3 linked regions of the Caenorhabditis elegans genome follow. The protein of the gene in region 3 binds, or shares a complex with, the protein of the main gene of each other region. Each region holds a gene or a part of one and is shown on either strand. Other genes may lie near its edges. The genes, in order: mix-1, smc-4 and kle-2.

The links.
Region 1: kle-2 (region 3) and mix-1 share a complex: the UniProt entries of both Caenorhabditis elegans proteins name them as parts of the condensin II complex.
Region 2: kle-2 (region 3) and smc-4 share a complex: the UniProt entries of both Caenorhabditis elegans proteins name them as parts of the condensin II complex.

What each region holds. Positions count from the first base shown.
Region 1 is NC_003280.10:10,822,135-10,827,269, reverse strand, and holds the start of mix-1 (Mitotic chromosome and X-chromosome-associated protein mix-1), read right to left. Parts: upstream 3,025-5,135; 5' UTR 2,887-3,024; coding exon 2,793-2,886; intron 2,707-2,792; coding exon 2,623-2,706; intron 2,464-2,622; coding exon 1,532-2,463; intron 1,481-1,531; coding exon 1,329-1,480; intron 869-1,328; coding exon 763-868; intron 714-762; coding exon 574-713; intron 1-573. Other genes in the region: R06F6.12 (uncharacterized protein), read left to right, coding at 3,191-3,252, 3,303-3,480, 3,526-3,968, 4,014-4,102, 4,155-4,261, 4,435-4,809; ech-4 (Delta(3),Delta(2)-enoyl-CoA isomerase), read right to left, coding at 4,988-5,135. UniProt on the Caenorhabditis elegans protein: Essential protein required for both chromosome condensation and segregation and X-chromosome dosage compensation depending on its binding partners.
Region 2 is NC_003281.10:4,585,390-4,593,659, reverse strand, and holds smc-4 (Structural maintenance of chromosomes protein 4), read right to left. Parts: upstream 6,160-8,270; 5' UTR 6,155-6,159; coding exon 6,005-6,154; intron 5,952-6,004; coding exon 5,886-5,951; intron 5,842-5,885; coding exon 5,527-5,841; intron 5,479-5,526; coding exon 5,305-5,478; intron 5,264-5,304; coding exon 4,971-5,263; intron 4,925-4,970; coding exon 4,180-4,924; intron 4,132-4,179; coding exon 3,874-4,131; intron 3,829-3,873; coding exon 3,394-3,828; intron 3,345-3,393; coding exon 3,137-3,344; intron 3,088-3,136; coding exon 2,582-3,087; intron 2,534-2,581; coding exon 2,015-2,533; intron 1,962-2,014; coding exon 1,738-1,961; intron 1,694-1,737; coding exon 1,155-1,693; intron 1,106-1,154; coding exon 1,014-1,105; intron 966-1,013; coding exon 840-965; 3' UTR 536-839; downstream 1-535. Other genes in the region: erh-2 (Enhancer of rudimentary homolog 2), read right to left, coding at 1-111, 159-283, 328-427; F35G12.7 (Divalent-cation tolerance protein CutA), read left to right, coding at 6,425-6,501, 6,546-6,605, 6,654-6,741, 6,786-6,908; F35G12.5 (SPK domain-containing protein), read right to left, coding at 7,186-7,308, 7,356-7,451, 7,497-7,619, 7,670-7,795, 7,846-7,981, 8,029-8,153, 8,203-8,270. UniProt on the Caenorhabditis elegans protein: Central component of the condensin I complex, a complex required for conversion of interphase chromatin into mitotic-like condense chromosomes. The condensin I complex introduces positive supercoils into relaxed DNA in the presence of type I topoisomerases.
Region 3 is NC_003281.10:7,939,851-7,946,442, reverse strand, and holds kle-2 (Condensin-2 complex subunit kle-2), read right to left. Parts: upstream 4,727-6,592; 5' UTR 4,721-4,726; coding exon 4,619-4,720; intron 4,545-4,618; coding exon 3,795-4,544; intron 3,746-3,794; coding exon 3,220-3,745; intron 2,887-3,219; coding exon 2,506-2,886; intron 2,456-2,505; coding exon 2,201-2,455; intron 2,107-2,200; coding exon 1,922-2,106; intron 1,403-1,921; coding exon 1,136-1,402; 3' UTR 850-1,135; downstream 1-849. Other genes in the region: gsto-1 (Glutathione transferase omega-1), read left to right, coding at 412-538, 589-848; C29E4.12 (Protein FMC1 homolog), read right to left, coding at 4,909-5,017, 5,072-5,289; C29E4.10 (Putative galactocerebrosidase), read right to left, coding at 5,587-5,673, 5,717-5,964, 6,013-6,110, 6,390-6,592. UniProt on the Caenorhabditis elegans protein: Regulatory subunit of the condensin II complex, a complex that seems to play a role in prophase chromosome condensation and in chromosome segregation in mitosis and in meiosis.

The sequences.
Region 1 (5,135 bases), on a different chromosome or scaffold from region 3:
CAATTTATTGCATATTGTGATAGTTTATCACGCAATTTTCCTAAATTTTGGTGCTTTTTCAGTTGATTATGCCGAAACTCTCGAAAAAAAATTCGCGAAATTTGAAATTTTAGCTGAAAAAAAGCATTAATTTTTGAAAAACAACTGTTTTAAAATTAAAAAAAGTTTTCTCAAAATTCCGAAAGAAAACTATTTTTTAAAGCTAATATCTCGAATTTTACCAACTTTTCAGTGTCATAACGGCCGGAACTTGGTTCGTAGTAAATTATCACTCTTTATTGCACGTTTTTTCGTTAATGTTGATGGCTTTTCGGTCGATTTCACCAAAAATGTGCAGAAAATGCACCTGAATTCACGAAAAAAAAACGCATAATATACTACAAAAATATATGTTTTTTTTTTTTCATATTTAAATATGCAATAAAAAGGCGATAATTGAATAAAAACCAAGTTCCGCTCGCTGCGATACTGAAAAATTGACAAAATTCGGGTTTTATTATGAAAATAGGTTTTTTTTTTTAAATTTTGAAACGGTATAACTCTTTTAAAATGAATTTTCACACAAAACCTTACTTGTATGAATTCAGAAGTCTCGTATCCATATCCTTGAGCTTAGTGATGCTCTCATGCAATTTTGCAGCGTGTTCTCGTTTCTCCGTATCAGCATCTATATTGAAACCCAATAATTGAAGTTGCTTATTGATCTCATCGACCTGAATATTTTTAAGTTTTCGGAGAAAAAAAAATTGAAATATCTGATACCTCTTTTTGATAATTATCGGCACTTCCAATGTCAGATTTACTTCTGGCTGAGAGAGTAGCTTTTTCGCCTTCCAAATGTTTAATTTGGTTGTGTAGACGTTCACCGCTGAAATAAATTGCCAATTTTTCAATGATATTCCTATTTAAAAAAGTACATTTCTTCTTTTGTCCCATTAAATTTACTGAATTTCCAAATTAATGCATTATTTTTTCGATGTTGTGTTTTCTTTCAATTTTTGCAATTTTTCAATGAAATTACATCGTTTGTAGTCAATTTTTTATCGTTTTATGTTAATTTTTCTGTTTAAAAATTGTTTAAAACCAGTTTTCAATGTAAAAATAGTATAAAACTGGTTTAAAATTTTTTAAACAGAAAACTGAAGAGAAAACGACAGAATAATTTCATTGAAAGTATCCGCAAAAAAACTATCATTGACGTTTTCAAAAAGCGAAAAAACGAAACTTTTTGTTTTTCGATTTTTCTTAAAATATCTCAAAATTTTTGTCATTATTCTTATCGACATAAACAAAATTAGATTTTTTGTTCCAATTCTCAGGAAAGTTACCGTTTCTTCGCAGCAGTAATCCCAGATGACATTTGAGACGCAGTCGACTTGCAAGACTGTATTTCACTCTCAATCGACACATGTTCTCCTTTGTCATTAGCAATTGTTCCTCTCGTTAGGGATTCGAGGTCATTACGGTATTTTGTGACGAGCTGAAATTGTTTTTTTTTAACTTTATTTTTAGAATAATTTCTCGAACTTACAGCTTCATCATCAGATTGACTTTGAATATCTTTCGAGTTAGCCGCCTTTGAATCTTCGTGTTCTTTTCGTTTTGCGTCGAGAACTTCACGATCTTTTGACAAGCTTTTGTTGATTTGTTCACCTTCCTTTTTGAGTTTATTGATTGTTTCAACCAATTGATTTTTGACAGTCTCCTTCTGAAGCATTATAGATTGTTTCGAAAGATGAGCCGCTGAAAGTGCAGCCTCTTCATGTTGATCATCTCGAGATTCTTCCATCTTTTTCTTCTCATCTTCCTTATTCTTCAAGTCAAGATCAAGCTGATTAAACTTTTCACCGAGATCTTCAATTCCCTTTTTGGCATCTTCAATCTCTTTTGCACTTTTTTTCACCGCTTCACATGTTTGAAAGTATTGAAACGCCTCGTATTTTCGGGAAAAGTTCTCTTTGAGTTTCTTGAGACGAGTCACTTCCACCATATTCTTTCTGTCTTCACGGAACTTTACCATTCTCGGATCAATACTTGATTGGAAGATTCTATCAACTTCTTTGAGTTTTGCATCTTTTAAAAACATTGTTTTCTCCGCGTCTTTCTTCTTCTGATCATACATCTTTGTTCCAGCTGCTTCCTCAACCATTCCGAGGATTTCCTCCGGCTTCATGTTTAGCACCGTAGTAATACGACCTTGCATGATGAGAAAATGTGGATTATTCACGTTCAAACCGACGCCACGGAAGAAATCTTGCATTTTTCCATTTGTGGCCGCATGCCCATTCAGTGTGTAACTCGTTGCACATCCTTTTCCAGTTGCTTGAGCTGTGATGATTCTCTGAACGACGATCTCGTCGAGATGTTCCATTCCGAACGGGGAGCATCTTTTATCAGTGTTGTCGAAGCGAACTTGGACGATCGCTTTTGTTCCACCATGGGAAATCAGCTCGTGCATTGATTCTGGAATGATATTTGACTTAATTTTTTTTTCTAAATTTCAATTTAAAAAATCTTTGCTAGAAATATTATGCTACTCTGATCTTGTGCTTTTTCAGTCCGAAAGCGCGTAAGTATCACTATGACAACAAAATAATTTTGTGATGAGAAAGAGCCACATACTTGCTCTGATATTATCGAGCTTATTGATTCCCATAATGAAGCAGATCGAATCGAGAATATTGGATTTTCCACTACCATTGTATCCTGAAATAAAACAATTATTATACTATATTTTATGCTGAAATTAAAGTTTTTCAAACTATTAGTTTTCAGCACAAAACTATACTCACCGGTGATTGCGTTGAAAGTCGGCGAAAAATCGAGAATATCGGTGTGCTTTTGGTACGATTTAAAGCCATCCAGATGGATGGATTTAATGTGCATTATGAGCGCACCCTGTCGAATTGATTTTGAACAAAAATAAGTTATAAGTCGATAACGAGTTTGAGAAAATGTTTATTTCGAAAGCCGAATGAGCTTTGAATGTTTTTTGGCGCGTCTTTTGAGAAGTGTGCAGAGTGGCGTGAGAGTGTTTGCGGACTGGAATGTATGAGATTTGACGCGCAAAAGTTGCCTTGTGATTTTTGTAATTTTTTTCTCCTTTGTTTTTTCTCCTTCGCTATAATTTAGAGTCATTTATTAATTTTTATTTTTTAATTTTTATTAAACAACGAAAATCGTTGCAGATATGGATTCCGAAAAAGAAAATCCTGCTAGCCCAACAACAGGCCGTGAAGAAGAAATTCCTGGGTAAGAATAAAAATCACATTTTCTTTCAAATTAATAAATGGAATTTCCAGATCCTCCCCAGAAGGTGTATATCCTGCCGATGAAGATCATATTTTCCACGAGGATCAGGCCCCACTTCGAGTTGAAAGTGCTAAGCATGAAGAAGAAATTGTTGAGCAGCAGCAGCAGCAGCCGGAAGATCTTGAACAAGGAGATATGATTGTGGAGGATGGTGATCAACAGTTTATGGTATTTCAAGCTTTTCGATGAATTGAAAGAATATTTATATTTCAGAATATGGTTCAAATCACGCAGGAAGACATGTACGAAGCGGGTTTCGATGTAGAAGCAGGCTTTGAGCTTAATCATCTCACCGAAGAGCAGCTGAACATTGTGGTGGCGATTAGTCAACAACGACAGGCGAAACAAAACGAGCAAGAGCACAATGAAGAAGTTGTCATAGAAGATGGTTCACATCATCACATGGTTCATCACGAAATGATTGAAAATCAATTTGAAGGTGATGGAAATGGGCCGGAGGAAGAATATGATGGGAATGGTCAGATAATCGATAATGCAATGCATATTATTCTGACAAATGATGGTGGAGTCAATATTACATCAAAACAGAAGCAATTCTATGTTTCCCCCTCCGAAATCGCCAATTTGAACATTGATTTAAACAATTTAAGCACTGAAAATGTCCATCAACTTGTGCAACTTGCTCTACCGCCCATGTAGGTCAACACGTAGAATTTTAACTATATTTTTATTATTTTTAGAAAAGAAAAAGCTCAAGATTCTGCATACAACGATCAGGCTCCATCAACAAGTTATCACCATCATCATCATGAACAGTTGGAAGCTGGAAGTGAGTTTCAGAAGCTTATTTGAACTAATTTTAATTATCCAAATTATTTTAGAATCTACAAGAAGCCCAATAATTGGAGAAACCGTTCAAATTCGGACAGCTGATGGTCGTCTTCAAGATGCGGTTGTCAAATATGTTCGAGGCGATTCGGAGTACAAGGTGAGAAACTCTTTACTTTTTCTGTTTAATTAGGCAAGATAAGCTCTGTTTTGATCCGATAAAATGTAATTATTTTCAACTTTTGGATCAAAACAGAGCTTTTCTAGAAAAAACGAAGAAAAATGCTCATAAAACTTCTATAAAGTATATTTTTTAAAGCTTTGAAATTTCAGATCCAATTAATGAATGGAGAATTCGCGTACGCCACCATCGACCAGATGCTCGTACCCCAGCGAGACCGAAGTGATCACGAGTATCAACAAGTTGCTCCGCCCGTCTTGCTCCGGAGGACGGATATGGCTTCAGTTCGAAATGCTGCTCAAAAGCGATCAGCCAACGATGATCTGTGCCCTCCAGTTCTGAAAAAGTCGTATCAGTTGGCTCCTGTCGTCGACGGACCACATCTAGTACATACTCCGAACTTTTGTTGCCCGATTTGTGATAAGAAGGTCTACCAGAAGGAGCCATCGTACATTGTTATTCGGCTACCAGCTTGTGATTCATGTACTCGTGAGAAGATTATAGTTCTTGATGAGCAAAGCAGTTGATATTCTTCATTTTTACTCGAAATTTATGGATTCATTTATTTATATGTTGCTAAAATTCTATTGTTGTAAATTAATCATTTAATTTTGTTTTTGCACATGTTCAATCAAATACACATAATTCTTTTTAGATACATAAAAAATCTACAAAAAAGGTAAAACTTAAGAGGGCACAAAACAATTACTTCTTTGCTCCTTTTGTCATAAATGCTGCAATCGCTTGGTGACACTCCTTGGATTGCCAACGCTCGCAAATCTGGTCGGCCTCGATATTGTTGACCTCCAGAAGCTTCTCCTTGTGCAGAGAACGGAGCAATTTCTTATTGATA
Region 2 (8,270 bases), 3.4 Mb from region 3:
CCCAACAATGACTTTCTCTCCACCTTCCGGATGCTGACAACGACCACGCATCATCTCGTAGACTTGTTGTTTGATCCATGCACGTGTACGACCAATGTATTGCCCGGTTTCCTGAAAATGAATTGATTTGGGAGGATATGCAGATCAATAATACATACGCGATTGAAGATCATCATAGAAACATCGGAGAGCTTATCGAGAAACTCGTAGACTTGCGACACGTCGTATGTGACTGGAGCAGCTGATTTCTTGGAAAGGAAATCTTCAAACATCTTGCAAAGAGCTGAAAAATTCCATTAAACATAATAATTCTCACGGAATGGTTACCATCAAGAGCGTCAGTTACACTCTCATAATCTCCCCAAGTCCGTGAATCAAGACGTGGTGATGTTTGAATCAGAAGTACGGTATGTGAAGAAGTAGACATATCTGAAATTACATGCATAACACGAGTTACAGTGAAAATCCACAAAATAAATAGTGAAAATGGAAATCTGAATCAGATTAACCATGAGGGATATACTAGTCAACGCTTCACCGATAAACGTTCTTATTTCAAACGAAAAGACACATAGCTCAATTATATCATTAAATTACAGTTTGGAGCCGAAAAAAAAATACAACGCAAAATGGCTCAAACTTTGGCCCTCAAATTAAATATAATTGAGAATAAGAATAAATAAAAAGGAAAAGGGAGAGATTTCTTGAACAGGGAGAGGTTAAAGAATTGCACATGAGTATCATTTGCGCGAGTTTAAAATAATAATAAACGGAAGAGTCGAGGGATCAGAGAACTAATACCCGTCAAAACAAAAGAGGATAGAACTTTTTTGAATGAATTATTCCATATCATCATCGTCATCAACGATTGCCTTCTCCTTCTTTTTACTCGACGGTGTCAACGGTTTCATTGGAGATCGTTTTGGTGTACTTGCGGAATTTGAACGCTTTGAAGGTGGAGTAGTCTGAAAATGGGAAATAAAATGAGTCTCAAATTTTTTAATGAAACTAACCTCATCGGCCTCTATGTTTCGTGCCTTTCTCGGGCTACGAACATTCTGTGACGACGATCTTTCGACAAGGCGTGGAGCAGGATATTTCATTTCTAAAAATAAGTTGTTTCATTTTCATAATAAATACGCCATTGGTCTTACGATTTATACGAGATTCGGGTCGACTTGCTGACCGACTAGCCGGTCTTTCAGTTCCATCGCCACTTGTCGTTGCTTTGGATTGTGGTCTTGAAGTGACATCTCGGGTAGTTTGAATCAATTCTTTCCTGACACGTCCTTCAACGTTAACAATCTTTTCGGCCTTTGAAATCTCATTTGATGATGGGAAGTTCGGATATTGTTTTTCTTGTGCAATCATTTCCTTATTCTGCCGACTCATTGTCTCATTGAATCGTTGAGTTACTTCATCAGGAAGAGTACACGTGGCCTGCCCCAAACTGTCCGTAATTTGCTTCGCCATCTCACAAACTCTCAATGGATCAATGGCTACATTACGAGTACACCCATCAACTTTATAGATACCAACGAGACGATTGGCGAGTTCAAACATATTATTTCTCAAAGAAATAATAATAAACTGCGCGTTTTCAGTCTTTTGTCGGACGTATTGGGCAATAATCGAAACGTTACGATAGTCGAGAGCAGCATCGATTTCGTCCATAACGTAGAATGGAGTAGGTCTAAACGAGGGATTATAATAATTATTAAAGAAAGTATTTAGTACCTGAACATGTGGAGCGCAAAAATGAGAGCCAATGAGGACAATGTCTTCTCTCCACCCGAAAGGAATTGAATTTGCTTCCAAGCTTTCTTCGCTGGGCGAACCATAAAACTGATTCCTTGTCGGAATGGATCGTCTTTATCAATGTATTCCAATTTGGCATCTCCTCCGTCAGTTAGCATTTTGAAAACGGCAACCAAATGTTTTCCAATGAATTCGAATGCAGACTGAAATATTTTTTAAAAATTAATCAGAAACCTATCAACGTCTGATTTCTTACATGGAATTCTTCAAGTCGCATCTGCTTGATTCGTTGAAGTTCTTGATTATGTTTTCGATGTACTTCTGTGGCTATTGTCAACTTGATCACTTGTTCATTGTATTGCTTGACCTTATCAACATAAGCTTTAATCGATGAGATATCAACTTTAGCTTTCAATGCTTCCACTTGTTGTTCACACACTTTCAGCTTCATTTGCATTTCTTCAGCGTCTCGGCTCGAAATCTCGTTGATTTTCTCGTCGGACAGAAGCTCGACCGGTACCCGGTCCTCTCCGTCGACATTCTCATACGATTCAGTGTTTTCCAACACTTTCTGTCGCATTTCGAACTCGAGAGCGTACGCGGCGTCACTCATCACGCAGGCCATATGCTTCTTTTGTCGTTCAACTTCTTCTGGACTCTGATTTTCATCAACCACCGGCATTTTATCATCGATTTGCATTTCGAGATCTTCTGGCCGACTTGATTCGATGAGAAATTGGAATCGTGGGATTCGATTAACTTTCAAAGCAGCGAGCTGTAAAAAAAGAACATTTAATTTAATAGATTTTTATTAATAACAAACCTTCTTTTCAATATCCTCAACCTTTAATCGATCTGCCAACATACTTTCCTTCAACTCCTTTATTCCCTCACTGCACTTTTTCAATTCTCCCTCCAATTTCGTCTCTGCAGCTGACAATTCCGATTGTTTCTTCGTCATTTCCTCTCCTTTTGTCTGTAACTTCTTGATTTGCTTTTCAAAGCGCTCAACCGTTTCTTTCTTCGATTTCACTTCCTCATCATCGATTGCTTTCTCCATCAATTCTTCGCACTTTTTCTTCATCTTCTCAATGTCTTTATCGTGTCTGGAAATGTTCTCATCGCACTTTGCAATGTTTCTGCCCGAATTGGAAATATTTGCAGTTTCTTTGGCGATATCCTTCTCAAGTTTTTGACGTTTCTGAAGAGACTCTTTGGCTTCGTCTCGATGACATTGTACAAGTTCCTTGAAGATTCCGTCAAGCTTACTCTGAATTTCAGCTTGACGAGCTTTTACTTTCGCAGCTTCTTCGCCCAACTCATCTCGTTCTGAAATGAAATATATTACCCAAATCATGATGATATGACGGAAAATTACTTTTTTCGAGCTCCTCAACAATCTTCTGTTTATCTTCTAATGTCTTCGCATCCACCTTAACTTTCGCTGCTTCTTTTTCTTGATTTGCGATCGTTTTCTTGAGGGTTTCAATTGCTGGAGCTGCAGATTGAACTGAAGAAGTCACAATAGACAAACGATTACTCATTTCAGCGACTTTGCGACGTGCTTCGATTAGCTGTCCGTCCATCTAAAAATCGGTTTGTTATATTTTATATTTTTATCCTTTAATATCTTACTTCATGCTCTTGTCCTTTAAGTTCATCAGCTTCATCTCTCAATTTTCCAAGTTTTTCAGCTAAATCTCGTTCAGCGGCTTTATCTTCAGGTGTCACTTGTTTAGCCATCTTATTTTTATCCGTGAGAATGAGACCTTTCACTGTTTTTCCACCTCCTGTGAATGATCCAGATGGGTGAATCATAGAACCTTCTAGTGTGCACACGGTAACACCACGACAAGCGGGCATTCTATGCATTCGCTGAGCTTCCTGGGTAGAATCGCCCACAATTGCACTACGCACCATATCATAGAATGCTGGTTTAAGAACAGGATCACAATCAATCAGATCAATAAGACGAGGAGCAGGTAATGGGTTCGTCGGATTGGGAGCTAAATCTCTCTTATCACACTTAATTTTGTCCAATGGCTGAACAGTTTGTCGAGGTAATTTATTCTGAAAACCAATGTATTCCTAGAAAATGAGGGTTATAAAACTTACAGCAACTAAAAAATTGATGACATTTTTTGCATCTTCTTCTTTCCCTACAATAAGATAGTTGAGACGGGCCCCGAAATTTGTGCAAATCGCTCCCTCATATTTCGGATCAATGACACCGAGATCACCAAGACGACCGTGAAAACTTTTAATTCTTCCAGCTTCTTTTTCCTTCATTAAGGCTTGAATAACTTTATTCGAACTTGAGCAAGACGAGTTTTGCTGGCGAAGAGTTTCGAGACGATCACGCGTTTTTGCCAACTGTAAAATAGGATTTATTTAAATTTATCAGGCTTTTTGAAAACCTACATCTTGATTCTTCTGTCTTGCCGTATTTCGAAGAGTTGGCAATTCTGTACTCAGTTGTTTTAACTTATCATTCCAAGAATCAAATTCCGGCTTCAGCTTATCTAACTCATCCTTCTCTTTCGCATAACTTTCTTCTGAAGATTCTAATCGTTTCTTCAGTTCGATAAGCTTATCCGTTCCAGAATTCGCGAGCTTCTTTAAATCCTCGAAATCTTCCCGTGCAATCCTTGCTTCACCTCGAACTTTGTTAAATTCGTTGCTCTTCTGCGCCCAAGTCTCTTGAATCTTCTTTTGTTCTTCTTTTGGCGCTTCAGAGCGTTTTTCAAATTCATCAAGATTCTTGTCGGCTTCCTCGTTAGCTGTTTTCTCTATTTCAAGCAACTGTTCCACTTCTTCCTGACATTTTGCGATTTTTCTCTCCGCCTTTTCGGGTGCTGCTTCCAGATTTGATCGCTTTTTAACCTCTTTTTCCTTCTCAGCTTCCGCCTTTGAAATATTAGCTTGATGCCTTTTCAAAGCCTCCTTCCTGCGAGTCTCTTCAGTGCCCAAGTCGCTCAATTCCTTAGATAGACTATCAAAGTTTTTGTCGAGTTTCGAACGCTCTTCAATCATAACTTTCTGAGCTTCCTCAGATTGTTTGTATTCGTTTTTGTTGGTATCCAGCGTTTCAGCAATCGATTTCATTTCTTCTTTCATCTTGTCAAGTTCGGCTTGTTTTGGAGCAATTTTATCTAGGTATCGTTGCCTTAAAACGTTAAATGTTATTTTAACCTGGAATATTTCAGAACTACCGTCTTCTTTGCTCCAATTTCATATGAATCGTTGTAGCCTCGTTTTCTTTCATCAGAAACTCAATTGCAGCTCTAACTGGATTCTCCATAGCTACTTTGCTGTTTCTGGCGTGATCACGAGCGATTCTTTGTTGAGAAAGATCACAAGTAAGACGATTGACGCGTCGCTGGAATAATTTAACAAAGGGCTCGAGTCGGTTTGTTCCGATAATATCCTCCAAATATTCAACCATTCCAGTTTCACTTTTGGTGGTTTTCACTGGTTTCATCATTGCAATTTGTTCGACTTCTCCCTGAAAAAAATGTTTATTACCGGTTTTATTGTCACTTTTACCTGAAGAATTAGAAAACGATTATGCTCAATATCAATGTCAACGCGTCGTAGGCGTGCTTCAACTTCATTCTTCGTTGCCGGTCGACCATCGATAGCATATGAGCTTGAGTTATTTTGAAAAGCAGTTCTAGAGATTGTGAACTCAGAATCCTTGACGACTTCGTAATGCCCAGGCTGAAAAAAAGCAAATTTATATTTTATTAGATTCTCTGATTCACTTACAATATCGACGATCCGCTGAAAATGAATAGTGACTGTGCATTTGTCTGGATTTCTTCCAGCACTTTTGTGAATCAAATTTGACACTTTTGCAGAACGAATTTTGGAAGCACGGAAACCGAAAACGAATAAGAGCGAATCGATTAAATTAGACTTTCCAGATCCATTTGGACCGATAATTGATGTGAAACTTTTGTGAAATGGTCCAATGGAAGCCTTGCCGAAGTAACTCTTGAAATTGTCCACTTCAACATTGCGAATCATCAAACGATCCGCCCGATTCGGTTTTGTAAGGAAATCGGGTCGCGATGGCAGTTGCTGTAAAATGTAATGACTTTAATATTAAAAACAGAGTAACATACCAATGAGAAAAGATCACTGTCGTCGTCCTCTCCGTCGCTTCCATCAAATTTTTCATTTACCGCTCTCTGAATAAAAATTTCAGTTTTATTGCTGCTTTTAAATATTCTGAGAGGGATACCTGTAGTTCTTCTTCCGGGTCCTTTGATCCTTCCTTGTGTCGGTTCACAGGCTTCGTTGTCTTTTTCTGCGGCTTTTTAACAGGAGCGTCATCAAAATCAGAATCAGATTCGTCTGATTGTGGCGGCGCCGCCGAAGTCTTCGGAGGCATCAACCCTAAAATACGTTGATTTTTAGGATTTGAGTGCTTAATATGAAAAAGACATTTCCCAACAAAAACAAAAAGTGGGACAGCAGCGGCTAAACAATTATTGGCGGTGAAATTCGAACAAAATTTTGGCGCGCATACAAGTGTGTGCAAACACCGTGACGCGCAAGTGCGACCCATACATTTAATTATACGACGAGAGCTAGAATGAAGTACGGTAATTAATTAAACATTTCTGAATTGCTTCAACATAAAATAAGTTTTCAAATAAAAATGACAACACCCGCTGTAAAAATGGTTGTCGCGTATGTGACAGCTCCGAGTAAGGAAGTTGCAATGACTGTGGCAAGGTATTTTTTTGTTTTCTGTCTACCAAAACATAATTTCATTTCAGAACAACTGTCACTGAAGCATTAGCCGCTTGCGCCAATGTTATTCCGGAAGTCACATCTGTGTAAGTATTTTATCTTTTTTAAATCTGTGCGAGAATCCAGATATTCAGATACAAATGGCAAGGAAAAATTGAAGAAGATCAAGAGCATGTCGTGATCTTGAAAACTGTAGAAAGCAAAGTCGAAGAGCTATCAGCTGTATGTTTTTATTTCGGATCACTAAGATTTTCATTCAATTTCAGCGTGTTCGATCTCTTCATCCGGCTGAAACTCCGTGCTTCTTCACACTGGCCATTGACAAAATAACTCCCGATTTTGGAGGATGGATTGTGGATTCTACGAATTCTTCAACTGCGAAACATTGAAACTTAAAACTTTATTCATATTTATTTCTACCAACTAAACATTAAATCAACGGGAACTGATAAATACATACAAACAGATTTGGCTAAGGAAAAAAACATCGTAATAAGAAAAAATGCTCCGAAAATTTGAAGATTCCAAAATAACGATTTGAGCATGCTTTTTTGGGGATTGTCTTGAAAGCTTCAAATTTTTTTTTCGAGCGATTCTGATGTGATTTAATGAATTTTTTTCAAAGAGATCGAGTTGAACGGGAAAGACAGGGCTATCATTAACTAGCTAGCGAGCATCACTTCGAACTCCAACAGCTTTGTCTACAATGTTAAGCGAGAAGACCATCGGGACAGCAATCTTGTATGCATGGCGTTTGTATGTATGATAATCATATTCCGTCCAAAATAACTGAAAAACATTGAAATGTTTTCTCATATATGTTCAATCATTCTTACTTTTTGCTCCTGAATAATTATCTCAAAGATCCTATCCATGCTTTTCTTTTCGTTATTGTATTGTGTCTCCCATCCCGGAAAGTCTTCACACATGAACTGAAAATTCGAAGTTGAAAAGAAATCCACTAAAAAAACTCTCACTTTGTGGATGCTGTATGTAGATTCTGAAGCGGACTTTGAACTAACATATTGATAGATCATAGAAAACTCACAGTCTCCAATTTCATGGAAACCGAGAAATTTAATTACTTGGTTGACCTTCACCTTAAAAATATTGATTTACTTTCTTGACCAATCAAAATATAATAGCTTACTCTGTTCATATTCTCAGAATCCGAGGGCATTATCAAGTTGAACTTCACGTAAAGGCTCTCTTCATTCAACAGCGACAAGAGTGTAAATGAATGATGGTTCTGTATCCAGGACCTTGGGATCACTTTCTAAACGTACTAAATTTCTCCCTTGTTTAACAATAAGATTAAATTATTACCTGAACCTCTTCCTCAAAATCAGTGTAATTAAACCCATCTGGATTTTTCTGATCAAGTTTCTGCAGCACGTACATGGTTTGCGGAAAAAATCTCAAATTTTTTGCCCACCAAATTTCAGCGAGTCGTCTTGCTTCCCTACAGAAAACCGAATAATAAAATGCATAAGGTGCTTGATAAAATACTTTTTCAAACTAGCATCTGTTGAAGGTTTCGTTGACACTGCTGTAAGGAAAGAAGAATATTGCATTTGGAACTCGCTCCCTCCTATGAGATTCATGCGAGCAATTCTTTCAGTTATATCCAATTCCTGAAGGTAACCCGTTTGGTTTTAATTTTCCAAAACTTCGGCATTCTACCTGAGCCTCGTGATTGTTTTCGCGTGCCGATTCTTCCTCCAATGGTGATGGCGTGCTCAGGTTTGTCG
Region 3 (6,592 bases):
GTCCAAAAAATGATTGTTTTATACGAGTTCTAAATTTCACTTTCCGAAATGCTCGAAATTACTAAAAGCACATTATTCGAAATTTGCCAATTTACCAGAACTTTAACTAAAACTTTTAAAATAAAAAAAAAGATCTGCACGTCTCTACAGTTGTTTTGAAGGCGCAGCGATACCAATACCTTTAAAAATGGAAGGAAACATACATAGTTTCTAATCCCCTTTTTGAACTTCCTCTAATATAAAAAATCAGTTATTCGCTCCGCCCATTTTTCAACCAATCAGATGAGTGTTTGGAGTCCAAAACTCTGATTGGTTTGAGAGTGGGCGTGGCTATTCATTTTGGAGGAAATTCAAATATGATCTTGAATTTTTCTATTTTCTAAACTATTTTGTTTTAAATAAGCAATTCAGGTAGCCCATGCAGTTCCATTGCTCTTCGCCGTCATGCGAGACCGAACTTTGAAAGATGAAAAGCAGCGAAAAGTTTTTGAAGTTTTGAAACAAGCTGAAAATCTCTTGGCCAATGATTTTTATGCTGGTGAGTTCAATTAATCGATACAATTTTTTGACCAAATTCAAACTATTCAGGATCTCAACCAGGTTATCCAGACTACTTATCATTTCCATTTTTTGAGAAAATTTGGTGGTCAGCTAGTTTGGATGGAGTTGTCGATTTACCAACAATTGAATTCCCAGGAGAAGAAGAATATCCTAAATTGACAAAATGGTTCCAGAAAATGATTTCTTCAGATGTTGTTCAATCCGTCACCCAATCTTTGGAACATGGCGCTGCATTCATGAACGCATATGCCACGCACCAGGAATTGAATTATGATTTGGGCCTTTGATATTAAAACCAGTCGATTTATTTTTAAGATTGAATAAAAAATGAAGGACGTAATTAAAAAACAATCAAAGAAATAGTGGTAATTCGTCGGAAAAAAAGTTATTGTACAGTCAGTAAAGTACCATAACGAACAGAAGAAAAATACTTGGCATCTAGAAGTTAATTAATTGATACAGTAAAATGAAAGTATAGCCAGAAATCGAGATACAAGTAGAGACAATGAGGAATGTTTAAATAAATTAAGATGGTTTTCGGGAGATTTAATGCAAAAAAAACAATAATTATAAATTAGGCATCAAGAGCGCCAGCCTCCTTGAACATTTCACAATGCATATCTCTTTTGAGTAGTGTGATTTTCATCGAGTTGATTCTTTCCTCGAGTGGCAGTTCCATGTCCTCGCTGACCATGACATTTCCGACATTACACATAAAGAGGCACGAAAGGAAGTATCGACTGATTTCGTACCATGGACGATCCATAACCAAATCTAGTAAACGTTTCGTGCCACCTTCAATATCGTATTGGCCAATGACAGCACGACCAACTGCGTGAACCTGAAAATTATTATAATTGAGAAATTCAAACATTTAGACATTTTGACTTTTCAAATTACTGTGGTTGACCAGAATATTAAAGGTGGAGTAGCGCCAGTGGGGAAATTGTTAAAAACCACTCCTTTGGTTCCAAAATGACCAAATATCATGATAAAACTTTTGAAAATTTTTTTATTTACTGTCAAAAACTGGCAATTACTCAGTTTTTGCCACTCATATGTTTGGAAGTCGACCAAAAAAATTTATTACATTTTTTATTGTTTTAATTTTGTTTAAATTAATTGTATTAAAACATTGTAGGGGTCGAAACATACGACATTTCTTTAAATAACCTCAAAAGCTCATATTTTTCAAAATTTTGGCAATTTGCCAAAACTTTGACCGGAAATTATGAAAAATCTAAAACTTTTTGGAGTGTTTTATTATGATATTCGGTTGTTTTGAATCACTATAAGTGTATTTAGACAAAATCCCCACTGGCACTACTCCACCTTTAAGATTAAATACTCTAAAACATACATCATACTCTTTTCGAGTTTCTCCTTCTTCGAGGATTGGTTCCATTCGAGAATGCCATTTGTCAACATGTTCTTGTAGAGTTGACACGGCAACATCCACATCTTCATATGCTTTAGCCATCTCGTAAGCCATTTGTTCGCGATCTGTTCGATTTTCAGCAAACTTCTTGAGCAATGGTAAAGCTTCTGTAAATAGAAAATTTACTTGATAGACTTGAGAGAGTACAATTTCAAAGTATTAATTTTAAAATTTTATTATAAAATTTTGCAAATAACTTACTGTCGATGAGCAAATTTCCAGGTAAATTGATAACACTGTTCAGTTCGGCATCATCAATATCCTCGAATCTTAATGGAACATATTCAGCAGGCGGAATATCAAAATCTGTTTGAAGAGCATCGAATTCTAGGTTGTTTGGAGCCATAGGAGGCCGTTCACCACGTGGCCGCACGTCTTCTTCGTCGTCATCGAACCCACCTCCAAACATTGAGAGCTCGACTTCGGCAGCAAGATCTTCATCGACTACGTCGTCATCTGGAAAAAATATAATTCAGTTTAAATTTCATAAAATTGAAATTTCTTACATTCAGCTCCGAGGGTTCTTCTATTAGACGTTGGAATATCCTCTGTTACCGGTTCAAATTGCTCCACGGGTATCACACGAGCTGTCCGTTTTCTCTGCATATTCTGGATACGAGCTTCTCGGATTTTTGCAGTCTTTTCCTTGATTCTTCGTTTCTTCTCGGCTAGAATAGCAGTACGAAGTGATTCTATCTTCCAGTCCTTAATCGGATTTATACGAGCCGCACTTCTCCAATAGTAGTAATCCTGCAGATAGTCGTGAGTTTCCATGAACTCGTCTCGTCGAGACTTATTGATCTTTTCCTCACGTCGTTGCTTCCTAGCCAACATTTCAGCGGGTTTTGGTTGGAATTTCGTGATCTTTTTTACCGGCTTGCTAACGACTGAAATATATCATTTACTATATATAAAGCGCTTATTCCGTTTGTCCATAGCTTGTAGTCTATGTAGTCTTTGTAGTCTGCGAAGTTTTAGCTTCTGGAGGGATAGTGAGTTGGGGTTAGTGTAGGGATATAGTCGGGGTACTGTAGTGGTACAATGGTGGTACGGTAGGAGTACTGTATGATTACGGTAGGAGTACTGTATGATTACGGTAGTTTCAGAAAAATTGGTTTTCAGCTCCAGAAGTCGGGGGCCGCGCCGGAGGTGCGGTCCACGGCTCATATATATATATAATCTAAAAAATACCGAAAGAATCCCATTAATTCAACAAATACCTGGCAGATTCTCGTCTCCCGTGTACCAAATAATATGATTTTTATCCAGCTCGTCCCATGGTGCCGGTGCTCGCTTCTCATCCCTTCTGGACAAATTTCGAATATAATCATCGTCGTCATCGTCTCCTCCACCACCAAAATCATCATCAAAGTCCATGGGCGCGTAATTCTCATCAGGTCTTCTACTAGTGTTTGGTTCATCGTTTTGCATAACAGATCCAAAGTTATCAACGAACATATCAACTAAGCCAGTGGTAAGATGAGTGCTCGGGCGATTCTTATTAACTCTTCCCTCCACAAATGACAAGAAATCATTCAAATGATTACTCTGTCGATGTCGTTCAACAAATGGTTGTGAGAGACGAGTTGGTTGAGATCCAAAGCCTTGAGAATCTCGAAGAGTTTTAGCTGCAATTGTGATGGCTCTCGATGTGGCACGAGATTGAATTTCTTGATTTTGACGAACTGCTTCTTGCTCTATGAACCAACGAGGAGGTGGAACAACTTCACGGCCAGAGAGAGGATCCTGAAGAAATCAAGTTTTGAAAATGTTTCATCGAATTATTACCACTTACCTTAAACGGTCCATATGCACTGATCTTCTCATGCTCTTGCTCCAAATCTAACTCAACTTCCAAATCAGCAACACCAAAATTAGCTGCCAATTCCTTATTATCTGGCATCCAACGAGCACCAGGTAGTGTGAATTGGTCTAAATTTCCACGATAACAATCATGGGAGTAGAGTATTTGTTGATCGTGTTTAACTTTCGACTTTTTAATTTCAAAATCTTTTACTTTTCCGATAACATCAGGACGAGATTTTGCATTCAAAATTTGTTCATCAGTACGATTGAGCTGGCCGTAATTGAGCTTGAACATGAACTGGGTTGGCTTTGCTACTAAACAGCTTTTTCGCTCATATTGAGACTCTATAACTTCAGCATTCTCGACCATTCTCACTGCATCAATCGATTTTTTCTCTTCTTTTACTGTCTTCTCAAAATTTGCTAGAGCTTCCTGTTTCAGTGAGTCGATATCAGCCAAGTCGTAATTCGTCGATCCCAAATTAAAATTTTTCCGTCTTCCAGCTCCTCGTCTACTGCCGGTGTTTCCATCATCTTGACCTTTGTTCTCGACTAAATCCACAACTGAAATCGTCAGTTCATAGACATGATCTACTTTTCGACCATATACGGCACACGATCCTTGAATAATCCGGCATGCTCGTTGAAAATCGAACAATCTGTAAGTTGTCGCTGCATCCACCTGATTATCTGTGTCTTCACTTTCTTGTCTGATAACCTCGAGGTATCCGGCGAGTGCCTGAAAGTCGAGCAATTATTTATTTTATTTACCGAAAAAGAAAAGATACAACCGTGAAAAAAAATTATCCTTACTTTCAACACGTCGATTGAGAAGTTCTCGACAAGATCTTTTGCGGGTGTGACGAGCCATGCTAAATCTGTCGATTCTTGACCTGGAGGAGCATTCCTAGTCATTTGTACCTGAAACAACAATTCCAATGCTCTGGCGATGATTAACTATAAAAAAGATATAGAATGGTACGAAAACCATAAGGAAGTTATAAAAAACCTGAATAGTATTTTAAAAACGAAGTATTTTATTTTGATTGAAAAGAAAACAGGAATCTAATCTATTCGAGAAAGAAATAACAATTTTAAGTATTTTAAAGTTTCTTTTGTTCTGGAAGTTTCAATCCAACAATAGCAGCAGCCTCTTCAACACTCTTCTCGCCACCCTTATATCTCTCTTGAAGTTCATTAAGCTGTCGGGTTCTAAAATGAATGGATATTGATTATTACTTTCTTATTCTCATAAAACAAACGAACCCTTTAATATAGCTCAAATAGAGTTTTGCAACGCTCTCTGACTCGTTCTCGGCTTTTGAATATCTTCTTGTTGTAACCTGGTCGGCTTTCATTTGCTCCATGAGGTATTTATATTGTGCCGAATTCGGGGAGAATGTTTTGTCGACCTTTTTCAGTTCCGAAATGATGTTTTTGATGGTGTTGAAAGCGGTCACTCCTTTTCCAACAGCAGAGGCCATACTTTAATTTTGAAAATGTACAAAAAAGGGATAATAAATAGCACAATAACACAATTCAGACAAAAAAAGAAAACAGGAAAACGTTCTCAATTCAAACTGCGCGCGTGAGGCGCGCGTTGTTTAGCGAAACGCGGAGCATCGTTGCGGTACCATTTGCGCGGAAGTTTGAATCTAGTTTTTTGTGGCAATTGATTTTGACATTTTCCAATAATGTGGTAAATTATAAAATGGTACATTTATTTTAATAGAAACATGCCCAAGCAATATTAAATACTTTTTGAATGTAATTAATCAGCCTCAGTGAAAATAATCTGTTGAAATATTATCCCATTCGGAGATGCCAAAATTTCCAGTGCCAATCACGAATAAAGTGTCATTATTTGTCTGAAAACATTATATTTGAAATTCAATTGATTATTTTAATAACCTTATTTAATTGTTCTTCTGGAATTTCCACTGAAGTCATCACATGATGATTTCCGAATTTTATGAAGAGATGCGAGTCCAGTAAATGAATTGAGAATTTATAAAACTTTCCAAATTCTACTTTTCTTCGTGCTTTGAATTCAGCAATTATTGAACGGTCAACGAAATCGGAAAATATAGTTACTTTTTTATTTGAAAATTCAATCTCAACAAATATTCCACGACAGTTTATTACTTCTATGTCACATCCTGAAAATGTAATAGATTTTAATATGAATCACAACACTAATTACATACCACTACAATTACTCCTTATACCTAGAATGATGGATTTAGCTGTTGAGTGTTTTGGAATATTGACCTCGGCGTTTAGAATACTATTCTTCTTTCGATACCTAAATGGAAGGAATACCGTATACCGTATTTCCTCTATTAGTTTTGCACCCCTTTGCTCAACTTTGACACCTCATATCTCCTTTTTGGACATATAAATAATTAACAAACTACAAACTACAGAAAAAACATCTATCTAAATTTTTATCAGTTGACAACTTTTCTATAGAACAAACTACTACTGAGATATGAGCTGCCAAAGTTGAGAAAAGAGGTGTAAAAATATTAGAGGGAATACGGTATACTGTAGTTCCTCATAGGTCAAAGTCATCAATTCTTACGCCATAACTGCATATGGAGTTCGAATGTGTGAGGTGCACCAACTAATTGATGGGCGTGTCACTTTCTGTACCGCCCGTCCATTTCGTACCACCCATGATCCTTTTTGTGGCATCCAAAACTTTGGCTCCTCGTCGAATTCATAATTTTCAAAGTCGTCGTGATAATTCAAAGGAACCAATGGTGTTTTTATAGTAACTCTTTT